2 linked regions of the Schizosaccharomyces pombe genome follow. The main gene of each other region encodes a partner of the protein of the gene in region 2 in a complex. Each region holds a gene or a part of one and is shown on either strand. Other genes may lie near its edges.

The links.
Region 1: spc24 (region 2) and mis13 share a complex: the UniProt entries of both Schizosaccharomyces pombe proteins name them as parts of the NMS super complex.

Annotation. Positions count from the first base shown.
Region 1 is NC_003423.3:1,153,758-1,157,527, reverse strand, and holds mis13 (MIS12/MIND complex Mis13/Dsn1), read left to right. Parts: upstream 1-1,906; 5' UTR 1,907-1,926; coding exon 1,927-2,916; 3' UTR 2,917-3,224; downstream 3,225-3,770. Other genes in the region: ade7 (phosphoribosylaminoimidazolesuccinocarboxamide synthase), read right to left, coding at 1-410. UniProt on the Schizosaccharomyces pombe protein: Acts as a component of the NMS (Ndc80-MIND-Spc7) super complex which has a role in kinetochore function during late meiotic prophase and throughout the mitotic cell cycle.
Region 2 is NC_003423.3:2,753,618-2,759,888, forward strand, and holds spc24 (protein Spc24), read left to right. Parts: upstream 1-1,808; 5' UTR 1,809-1,887; coding exon 1,888-2,041; exon of another isoform or gene 2,042-2,088; coding exon 2,089-2,424; exon of another isoform or gene 2,425-2,554; coding exon 2,555-2,661; 3' UTR 2,662-2,687; coding exon of another isoform or gene 2,688-4,190; 3' UTR 4,191-4,254; coding exon of another isoform or gene 4,255-4,365; 3' UTR 4,366-5,143; coding exon of another isoform or gene 5,144-5,617; 3' UTR 5,618-5,771; downstream 5,772-6,271. Other genes in the region: transcription factor TFIIIC subunit Sfc3, read left to right, coding at 1-1,317; RNA polymerase I general transcription initiation factor subunit Rrn7, read right to left, coding at 2,688-4,190, 4,255-4,365; tif512 (putative translation elongation factor eIF5A), read right to left, coding at 5,144-5,617; GARP complex subunit Vps52, read left to right, coding at 6,022-6,271. UniProt on the Schizosaccharomyces pombe protein: Acts as a component of the NMS (Ndc80-MIND-Spc7) super complex which has a role in kinetochore function during late meiotic prophase and throughout the mitotic cell cycle.

The DNA.
Region 1 (3,770 bases), 1.6 Mb from region 2:
TTAAGGCCATGAACAGTCCCTTGCTTTTGATATTCCTTCCAAGCACTTCCAGTGATATAGCCACGAACAATAGCTTCGATAGGAAGAATCTTGTATTTCTTAACGAGCATGGATCTATCCTTTAACTCTTCATGCTTCGTGATAACAGGAGGTAATTCTTCCCACCTAGAAGTAATCAAATGAGTTTGGACATGAGGTTTTAAAACATCAAACCAAAATTCTGAAATTTTTGTCAAAACCTTTCCCTTCTCAGGGATGCCGTTCTCCATGATAAAATCATAGGCGCTTATTCTGTCTGTTGCTACGAACAAAAGATCATCGGGAAATTCTACACACTCATACAGGTCTCTGACTTTGCCGGTAGCAATTTTAGTGAATGGAGCATCCAACGAAGTTTTTAATAATGCCATTTGAAATGAACTTGATGTAGAAATGAAGGTTTAAACTATTCCACTTGAAGACAATTAGCTTTTGGTATAAAAATAACAAAGTATTTAAAGAAAATCCGTGTGATCTCTTTTCATTTCGTTTTAATATGCTTCTTCTGTATGAGGTCTATATAGTATAACATAGAACATCGATTAAAAATTTCAGAGAAACAAAAGCAATTACAATTATCAAAAAGGATACTATTACATAACATACCACTTAGAATTGGCTCCAAAAAACCCTGGTTTCAATGAATCCAGTTAACTCTAACTTTCGATGTAGTAGAAAGGAAAGATACAAGAGAGATGAGACAGATCGTCGTAGATCTTGGCAATACACTGAGACAGATTAAGAACAGATAATCAGTAAAGATTCTTTTCAATTATAAAGAATTTAAAAATTCCGAAATAAATTCGTATTTGAGGATGATGGCAACCTAAGTAAGTGCTCGAAAAGTAAGTTGTACAGGACATGCTGTGGTTATAAATTCCATGTTTAATTAAAATAAATAAAACAAATAAATTAATAATTATAATAAGAAAACTATTACTTCACTTAAGTTAAAAAGAGCTTTAAACACCGACTACTGTTGCCTTTTTGACTGCAGAATATTTTGAAACAACTTTATATAGGAAGTGTTTTAAGAGTAGGATAATTCAAACTTTTAATTCTTAAAACTATACTGGATCCTTAAAGTTCTGGCTTGTCTGCAAAGCCATGTAATCTAAAATTGGGTACTTTCTGTAAATAATATGCAGCGATTTAAAATCAACAATAACCAGCTAAGTCTGAAAATTACTACAATTTAGATTTTGTACATATAGAATACTCGAATATTTTTCATTATACTTATATTTGATTATTCATCTTATTTATCGTCGCTATATTTTTCAACAATTATGATAAAGTACAAGCTCAATCCTGGCAGCTCATGGACATCTTGACTATTTGTCAAAAACTGTAAACAGTTTTAATGGTAATAATATCCACATTTTGTAATTTGCATAACTTTTCAGCTTAGCATTTCATGTCGCATTCCTCAATTATATATATATATATATATATATATTACATAAACAGTAAACTTGATATAGTATAAGAAGAGGTCTTATGAATTTATAAGGGGAATTAACCAACCATTCAATGGATTATGTTAAAATTATTATTCTTATTATTTTACAGCAGAAAAAAGGATATATATTTTTGTTTTTGCAAGTTCGAAGATAATCTAGCAATTAAACAAATATTTTATACCAAGTTGTAACAAGTGTATCTCCAAAAAGAAAGGAATACTTAACAGTAAAAAAGAATTTAATCATTATTTATTTTTTTATTTATTCTCTACATGAATATACTTTGCTTTGATGAATTTTCAATGCTCAATTGTAAGGCCGACTTATAACGCGCTCGCTATACTTTGTTAGGTTACCTAGTGTAAACAATGAGTAAGGTAGTCTTTGCAATCCTGACTCGACTTGACCCTAACCAGCATCCATTATGAAACGAAAGCCTGAAGAGCAGGAAGGATTTGTATTCGTTAGGAAGGGTAAAGAAAAAGCTGGTTCTAAAAGAAGGAAATCATCTGTGGAGGATGATCCAGATACCTCCCAAACCGATGGGTTAGTTGAGCTACCCGTGTCTGATACACCAATTGTGAAGCGAAACAAAGAACTTCGCAAGGGTAAAGGAAGAAGGAGTAGTCTTGACCAACGGGGTAAGCGTGCTAGTAGCATTGGTACTGGATTTGAAGCTTTACCACATGCAGATGTTCCATCGCATGAATACTATCGCCATATATCCAAAGACTTATCCGAACCTTTACGTATCAAACAACTTCTCCTTTGGGCTTCTTCAAAGGCCTTAGAAGAGCAAAGAAAAAAATACGGTGAAACGGAGGAAGCCAGTGAGGCAGCTATTGCTAGATCAATAGTTCAAGAAGTTCTTAACGAATTATTGGCTAATAAAGTTAGTGTTAGTTGGTATCAAAGACCACCTGATGCTGTAATTCCTAATAAACCTCATCCTCAAAATCTCAAAAATGCTCAGCTAGTGGACGAACTGTCGGCAAAGCTTACCCAACTCCATAATGAAGAAGCTGCATGGCGGGCTGTTGCTGCTAATTCCGTCAGTTCAGATAAATCAATTTTATCTTTTAAAAAAGCTGTAGAATCCATAGATTCTAAACAAGACCTTGATAAACAGGACTCTCCATTACCCCCAGATGATGCACCAGAACTTCCTAATATAAGTAAGCTGAAACCAAAATTCCACACTCTCCTGGACATGCTTGCTGAAAATATTCATACCTTGCATTCTTTGACTAACGCTGGACCTGAAGTCCGATCATCATATGGTCGCCTTGCTGCCCAGGATTTCATAGCCCATCGTAAAAGTTTGTTGTCCTTCTCCAAATATGTGGATACTATGAATTTATTAAGGCTTTTATCAGAAGCTTCCTATAAATCTTCCTCAAACGAATCAGTTTAAAATTGGATTAATCTGATACTGTTATGCCCAAATTTTTACTTATTTTTACGTTAATTTTATGTCTTTTTGCGTGCCATTGCTGCTAATTAACTAATAATGAAGGTGTGCAAACCAGCTGGACTGTGTTTGAAAATTCATGTTATACGTTATTTCAAAGGAACTCCTATAGTAGTAGCGCGCACTCACATTACTATCTACACTCAATGTACGATACATAACTGCTACTATTCACCCAATATTTAGAATTTATCAAAGGTTTCATAGTTAATTAATTTGAAATATTTGAGAAATAAATAGCTTTATCTCTAAAGTCTATATTCTATAATTAAATTTTAAAAAGCGAGAGCAGACATCGTCGCAGGTTTCGAAACATGTAACGTGTAATTAACAATAGCTTTATGATAACCAGAATACACGTGGTAAATTCCGTCATAATAGTAACGTAAAACTTTCAAACACAAAACCGCATACATGAAATTAAAAAAAAACCACGATTTCTATGAAGCTTGGACATTATTTAAATATTAAGGCAGCTTCTCAAACGCAACGGTGCACCAATATTGGAGACAAATTCAAGAAATCCCAAACCCAAACTGAAACTGTGGGGACATGAGCTAAAGAATTTTAAAAAATTTTAGCAATGGATAGGTGGAAGCATGCTTAAGGAACATATCTAAGTTCACTTATGGAATGATCCCTGAGGCGAAAAAAGCAAAGCAGCAAATTCTGACCGCTTTACGAAGCCAAGATTGTTGGCATATCTTTTAAAAAAGTGGGATAGCCAACTGAAATAATAGAGGCTTTAAATTCCTTGCATGTACACAACGCAAACCAAATGCATAACGAAAAAAAAG
Region 2 (6,271 bases):
GCGGTTGTTATTACTCAAATTTATTATGGTGGGACCAACAGATTAATCAAATGGGAGGCTGTACAGAAATGCTTTCCTAACCGGGACATATATGCTCTTACTAGAAGATATTTATCCATTAGACAACATACAAAATTTAAAGGCTTGCAACAGTTTTTATCAGAAAATTGGCAGCAAATGTACAAAGATGCTGTCTCAAGAAAAGATTTAATGCCATATCCTGATTCTGTTGATGATTTTGATCCTACCCCATATGTTAAGGCGTCTTGTAGACCTTATATGATTAGTTCTTCAAATCTTGCTACTACTAGGTTACCGAGAGACCTCGTTGACGTTTATGAAACTTACAATATAGAGGTTGTTAAACAAGAAACTAATTTCCGGGAAATGATATTTGATCCTTCCCTGTCAGTTGCCTCGAAAATGAATGCGTATTGTGATATGCCTTTTACCATGCCGCTTTCCTTAAATGACAAACAAAATAATGAAGGGGATGAGAATTGTGAGAAAGGTCAGTTGTTTGATGCGAAGTCTACTATCAAGAGCATCGTTGCCATCCCAGACGCTACATATGATGCTCGGTTTTCGCAAGAACGTCTTATGCAGTATCCAGAAGATATTCTCATCGCTGCTCATCAAGAATTATTGGATAAGAGAATAATTACTAGAGTTAATTCAGAAAACAGTAGATTGCAGCCTGGTCGAAACTTCCAGTTTACGGAGAAATTTGCAAGTTCCCTCAAGTCTCCTTTACCTCCATTTTTATTGTCACAAGCCAAGCGATTTAATAAATTTTTATTGGAGGGTTTTCAAAATCATAAGAATCATTTATTTGAAGAAACATCTAACAGTGGAACTCTCGCATGTATCCTTGATTTATTATCTCAAGGAAAGTTGCAAATATCTATAGTCGGAAGCAAGTTTAATGAGTATGGTCTATCTGAAGGCTATCGTACTCGTTTGCTAGAACATGACAATATCAATGTAACTCTTGTTCTCAGCGGCAAAGAAAGTGAATCTAAAAAAAATTATGGTGTTACTGAAAAGTTGGCAACTCCACCTTCGCATGAGCCACGGCTATGGTTAAATGGTAAATGCGAGCTTATTGAGATGATATGGATGAATATCGAGCAGTCCATTGTATACCAACTGCTTCGAAAACCCGGAATCTTGAGATCCCAACTGACTAACTTACTATTTCCCGGATTAGAACCCCGTGAGTTTAACGAAGTACTTGATTACTTTATAGCAGCAGGTGCCGCTATTGAAAAGGATGGCTTATATCTAAACCATAATTATCTCTTTAAATTAACTTAGCCTTTTAAATGTCACCATGATGAGATGATGCAAGCTGAGTATTTTCTTTCAATAGGCTTGTCGATTTGGAACATTTATATTACAAGCAACGATTTAATGTTTATTTGTACAGTATTTAGGATTCATTTTTAAATTATCTAAAAGATACCACGCTGTGTCTGCTTCTAATCTATAATTAATTATATTAGCGTGTTTTGAATTAATCTGATTTCGCGTTTTCTTCCATCTAAACTTTATATCGTATAAAAATCAAAAAGGTTTCATCGACTGTTTTGCTGAAAAGGTGAAGAAAACTTGAATCGAGGTTATCTCTTTTCTTTCTGTTTTATGTACATAACTTTAGCTCCTATAGAAAAAAGAAAAAACCTGCATCATGTAGATTTGTTTAACTAATTTACGTATGCATATATATATATATATATATATATTAGTAGAGTAAGGTTGATTTTCTAACCATACTTTATTTACGGTAGCATCATTCGTACCTTTTCGTACGTTACGACCACGTTGAAAGTTTTCAAAGAAATTACTTTTTAAACACAAAAGAACATAAATAAAAGAGAAGTAAATATGTCAGACAGTCCAATTGAACTTATGCGGTCCACGCTTGCTGGTTTTCAAATTGCACCAGATGTGAAAACCATCTCAAACATTCAAGACATTCGCGCACAGATACAGAGCTTCAGAGAAAAAGAATTGGAAGGATCTCAAACCAAATTTAAAGGTTAGTTTTAATCTAGAAATAAACGACCATGCATTAACTGTGAATAGTGCTTTCAAGAAAATTAGAAATATCTACCCAGGCTATGGAGTCATTAAAACAAACAGCAGAGTCATCACAACACGCTGAGGAGATTTTAAGCAGGGAAAAGGAGAAATTTAGGATAGCCAAGTTGTTGAATATCACTGAGAACGAAATTATGAGTTTAGAATCTCAATTGCAGAAAATGAAGGAACAGCTACTACAACTTGAGGAACGCGAAAATACTTCTGAAGACATATGTCAGTCAGAGGAAAATGCGAATATGTTAAAGCTGAACTTTTATCATTCTTTAGGCTTCGATTTAGAAACTGCTGAGAACACTGGGAATAAAAGGGTTATAATACGTATGTCATTTGCTCATAATTTGAATTTACCTTTCAATTTTTTATCTTTAAAAAGCTTGATGATATGAAAAATTCAAGCTTTAAAATTGAACTTTAAAACTGTTTTTCGAATCTACTCACACTTTCCTAGATACCGAAAACGATTTGCAAACGGTACAAATCAGCAACAAGTATAGCCCATATTTTTATTCTAATTATTTTTGGGATTTGCTTGATGATAGTAAGGACAAAAAATAGATGGCACTATTATTTTATTTATTTATTTAATCTTGATTGTGTATACCGGTTTTTAAACATGACTCAACATAACGAATGGCCGCTATAAGAGAATCCAATTTGATATTATACAATTTGGCTACCATGATAGTAACCCGATGAGCTGTATTTTCTGTATTAGGTGAAAAAGGAAGCATTGATATATAAGCATCCTTTCGTCGTGAAAAGTCCATTTTATCAGACTCTTTAATGCCTACAGGTTTGAACACTTGTTCTAACTTTACATCTTCAGCAATGACGGATTCGTCGGTGAGTATATCTGTAGGTTGATTTTCTTGTAAATGGCTGTCTTTCGAAAGAATCGGAAATACGTTAAGAATTCCTTCTGGAATATTATTTGGGTTGTTTTCTTCGACAAACTCTTTTTCATACCATTGAAAATATTTATCCATTTCAGAGTTATTGAGCGTCAAAATGGATTGCTCGTCTATCTCGTAGAACTTGTCTTTTTCTTTCTCATTAATTTTTTGCACTTGGGATAACCACATGTTCCAGTTGGTTTTAACAGTGAACATCGAGTCTTTGTATTTGGAATTTCGAGTTTGGGCATCATCAAACCCATAACATACATTTGCTGCTACTAAGATGGTAGCGAGTAACATAACCTCCGCATCAGATAACTTTTCATGTATCGATTGAGCACTGCGTATTTTGCTTTGATAATTATCGCTAGAGGTACCTTGAAGTGAAATCTGCGAGTGAACGAGATTTAGTAAACGAGAAGCAGGTATGAAGATTTCTAAGGGAAAAAAGAAACTGTTAATAAGCTCAAAAAGTATCAATGGCTCATTAGGTGGAGGAACTTTTAGTTCGTATTTAGATACTAAAACGTCAACCAATGTCAAGACAGCGGATTGTATGCGTTGATACGTTGGATAATGAAAAGGAATTAGCATCCTTACATAGTTTTTTTGAAGCCTTTTAAATATTTTTAGAGGTATCTGTTTATACGCTCTATAATATGGAATAATATTTTTCCTTATTAAAACTTCGAGTTTATGAATGGTCAGAGGCAGTCTTAGTAAAAGACAGGCGACATAAATAAAGGCAGAAGAGTATAAAAGCCGAGGATAAGATATAGAATGCGACTGAGAAGTTTCCTTCGTTTTTCTTGAGCTCGGATCAGCTCCCGGTTGACTCTCAGGATCTATGAGATCAAAATCCGAATCTGATGATTCTGATTGCGTTGAATTTTGGTTGAGGGAAAGAAAACTAGAAGTAAATGATTCATAAGACAGGGAAAGGTAAAGCGCCCAAAGGTCACGTATCATGCCTTCTATTCTTTGGTCAAATCCGAGTTTCGTAGTTAACGCTTGACATTGAAGTTGAAGAATAATTTGAAAAGCCTGAAGATATAAGCTTCTACCAGCGGTACCATAAACAATCTCATCTTCATCTCCAGTGTCTAGATGGTTGCGAACAACCTTTCTTTTACGAGTTTGATAAAAAGTCCCTGCACCAGGTTCATCATCTTGAGCGATTTCAATTCCCTAAAATTTAACAATTTTATTAATGAACATTCATTAAAGCGCAAACCTATTAAAAACAACTTACATGTTGAGCATGACCACGACGACAAAATGTTTGACCTGCATTTTTAAAATACCAAGTACTTTTGCAGTTTCTTACAGAACAAGGCGGACCTTCAAACCAATTGCCTTCCATTGTAAAGGAACTGGATATGCAAATAGATGCAGACTTATTTAAAAGTACAAACAGTGAACTATAGACGAAGAAAAATAAGAGAACAAAACACTTAAAGGGTATTCAAGTAGGTAAGCATTTGTAAAAAGATCTGCACAGTTTCTAACGGTGTTGTTATTTATAAACTGCTATGCCAGCATTTTACCAATATTTTGGAAAGTATGAATCGACTGAAAAAACCTAACAGATTTTCTTTCAGCTGCGAAATACCGTTTATATAGTTTTGGATAAATCCTTCACAAATGTATCACAGTAGACTGTTAGTCAGTCAGTAGCGATAGGCAGTTTTTGAGATCTAACGGGCGCCACGTTAATACATATGAGTTGTAACGGCTTGGTAGATAGTGCATACATTGATTAACTATTGTGAAAAGCCATTATATAAAAACTGCAAGTCCACTCTAGATTATATATTACCTCGGGTATCCAACCTTGAGACATAAAGGTTGAAACTAGGATAAAAATTGAGGAAAGTTAAAATAGGCTGAAGAAAAGGTGCTACTGATACATTTAAAAGAGAAAATAACAGCCATCAAGCAGTTTGATACATACCCGTAGTACGAATATATAACCATAATCTAATTTATCTTAAAACTATCAGATATATAAGAAGTCTTACGTTTACAGATTCCAAAGAACATTCTATTTACAAAAATCGTTAAACAAACAATGAATATGGTAAAGGAGGAGCAAAACTTGTTTACTAAACGACCATTTTTAAAGGGAAGAGGGTTTATATTTAGGCGCTGGGAGCATCACGGCAAGCGAGAGCAATCTCTTCACCCATGGCAGAGACAACGGTAATGATTAAATCCTTACCCTCTTCAAAGCCCTCTTCAATTTCGTTGCCGAGTTCGCCTTCGGGAAGACGAACATCGTCCTTGGTAGTACCATCGGTAGTCATGAGGTTCAAGTAGCCATCATCAATGTTGACTAGTTGGTATTCGTCACGCTTGACAACAGGAACGTCCATGTTATGAGTAGAGGGAGACATATCTTCGTACTTGCGACCATTGAAGATATCAAGGGCAACAATGTGGACCTTGGCATGTCCGTGCTTACCAGTCTTAGAGGTGGACATGTCGACGATCTTGCAAGGACGGCCCTTGATGACGACGTGTCCGTTCTTACGCAAAGCAGAGCATTGCATAGGGAAGGTCAAAGAGGCACCGGCCTCACCACCCTCGAAATCGACGTGTTCTTCTTCTGCCATTGTTGGTTTATGCTCTTTCTGTATGAACATGCCCATCACTTTCCCATTTGTTAAATGTGACTACTTTTTCCATGTGAGATTGCTTTAACCCTACCCTAAAGCAACCAAACTAAGTGCAGTGAAGTAAAACGTAATACATGTTATTTGAAGTATACCTTTGCAACGTTAAAATTCGTAAAGTAACTCATCATAATTATTTGACGTATCGTTAGATTACATTAAATTGTTCAGGCTTAACACTGATGGAAGCGCCGAAACCAGGGTGATAAACAACACCTAAATTAAACTTAACCCTCCTTAACTTACCAAACTAACTATTTGCAGGATTATACCTTCCATTTGTTCTGGGATGCAGCTGTCACGTTGAGATATAACATCTATAGGTACAGTATAATAAGTCCGGCATGCAGAGAGCTTCTACCCAGGATGTTTATGATGGAAGTGGTGATGATCTAAACAAACTTGATTCTCTCAAGTCAGTGTTGAATGATGTTCTGAGCTCTTTGGAGCGATTCCAGGTGGATCTGGATGTCGCTACTAGTGATATCTACAAAGTCAGTGAGCGCTCAAACAAAATTCAAGTAAATTTAAACAATTTGAAGGCAGTGGAGTCAGCACTTGGAGCAGAGATTGATGGTGCGATTCTTCCACCTG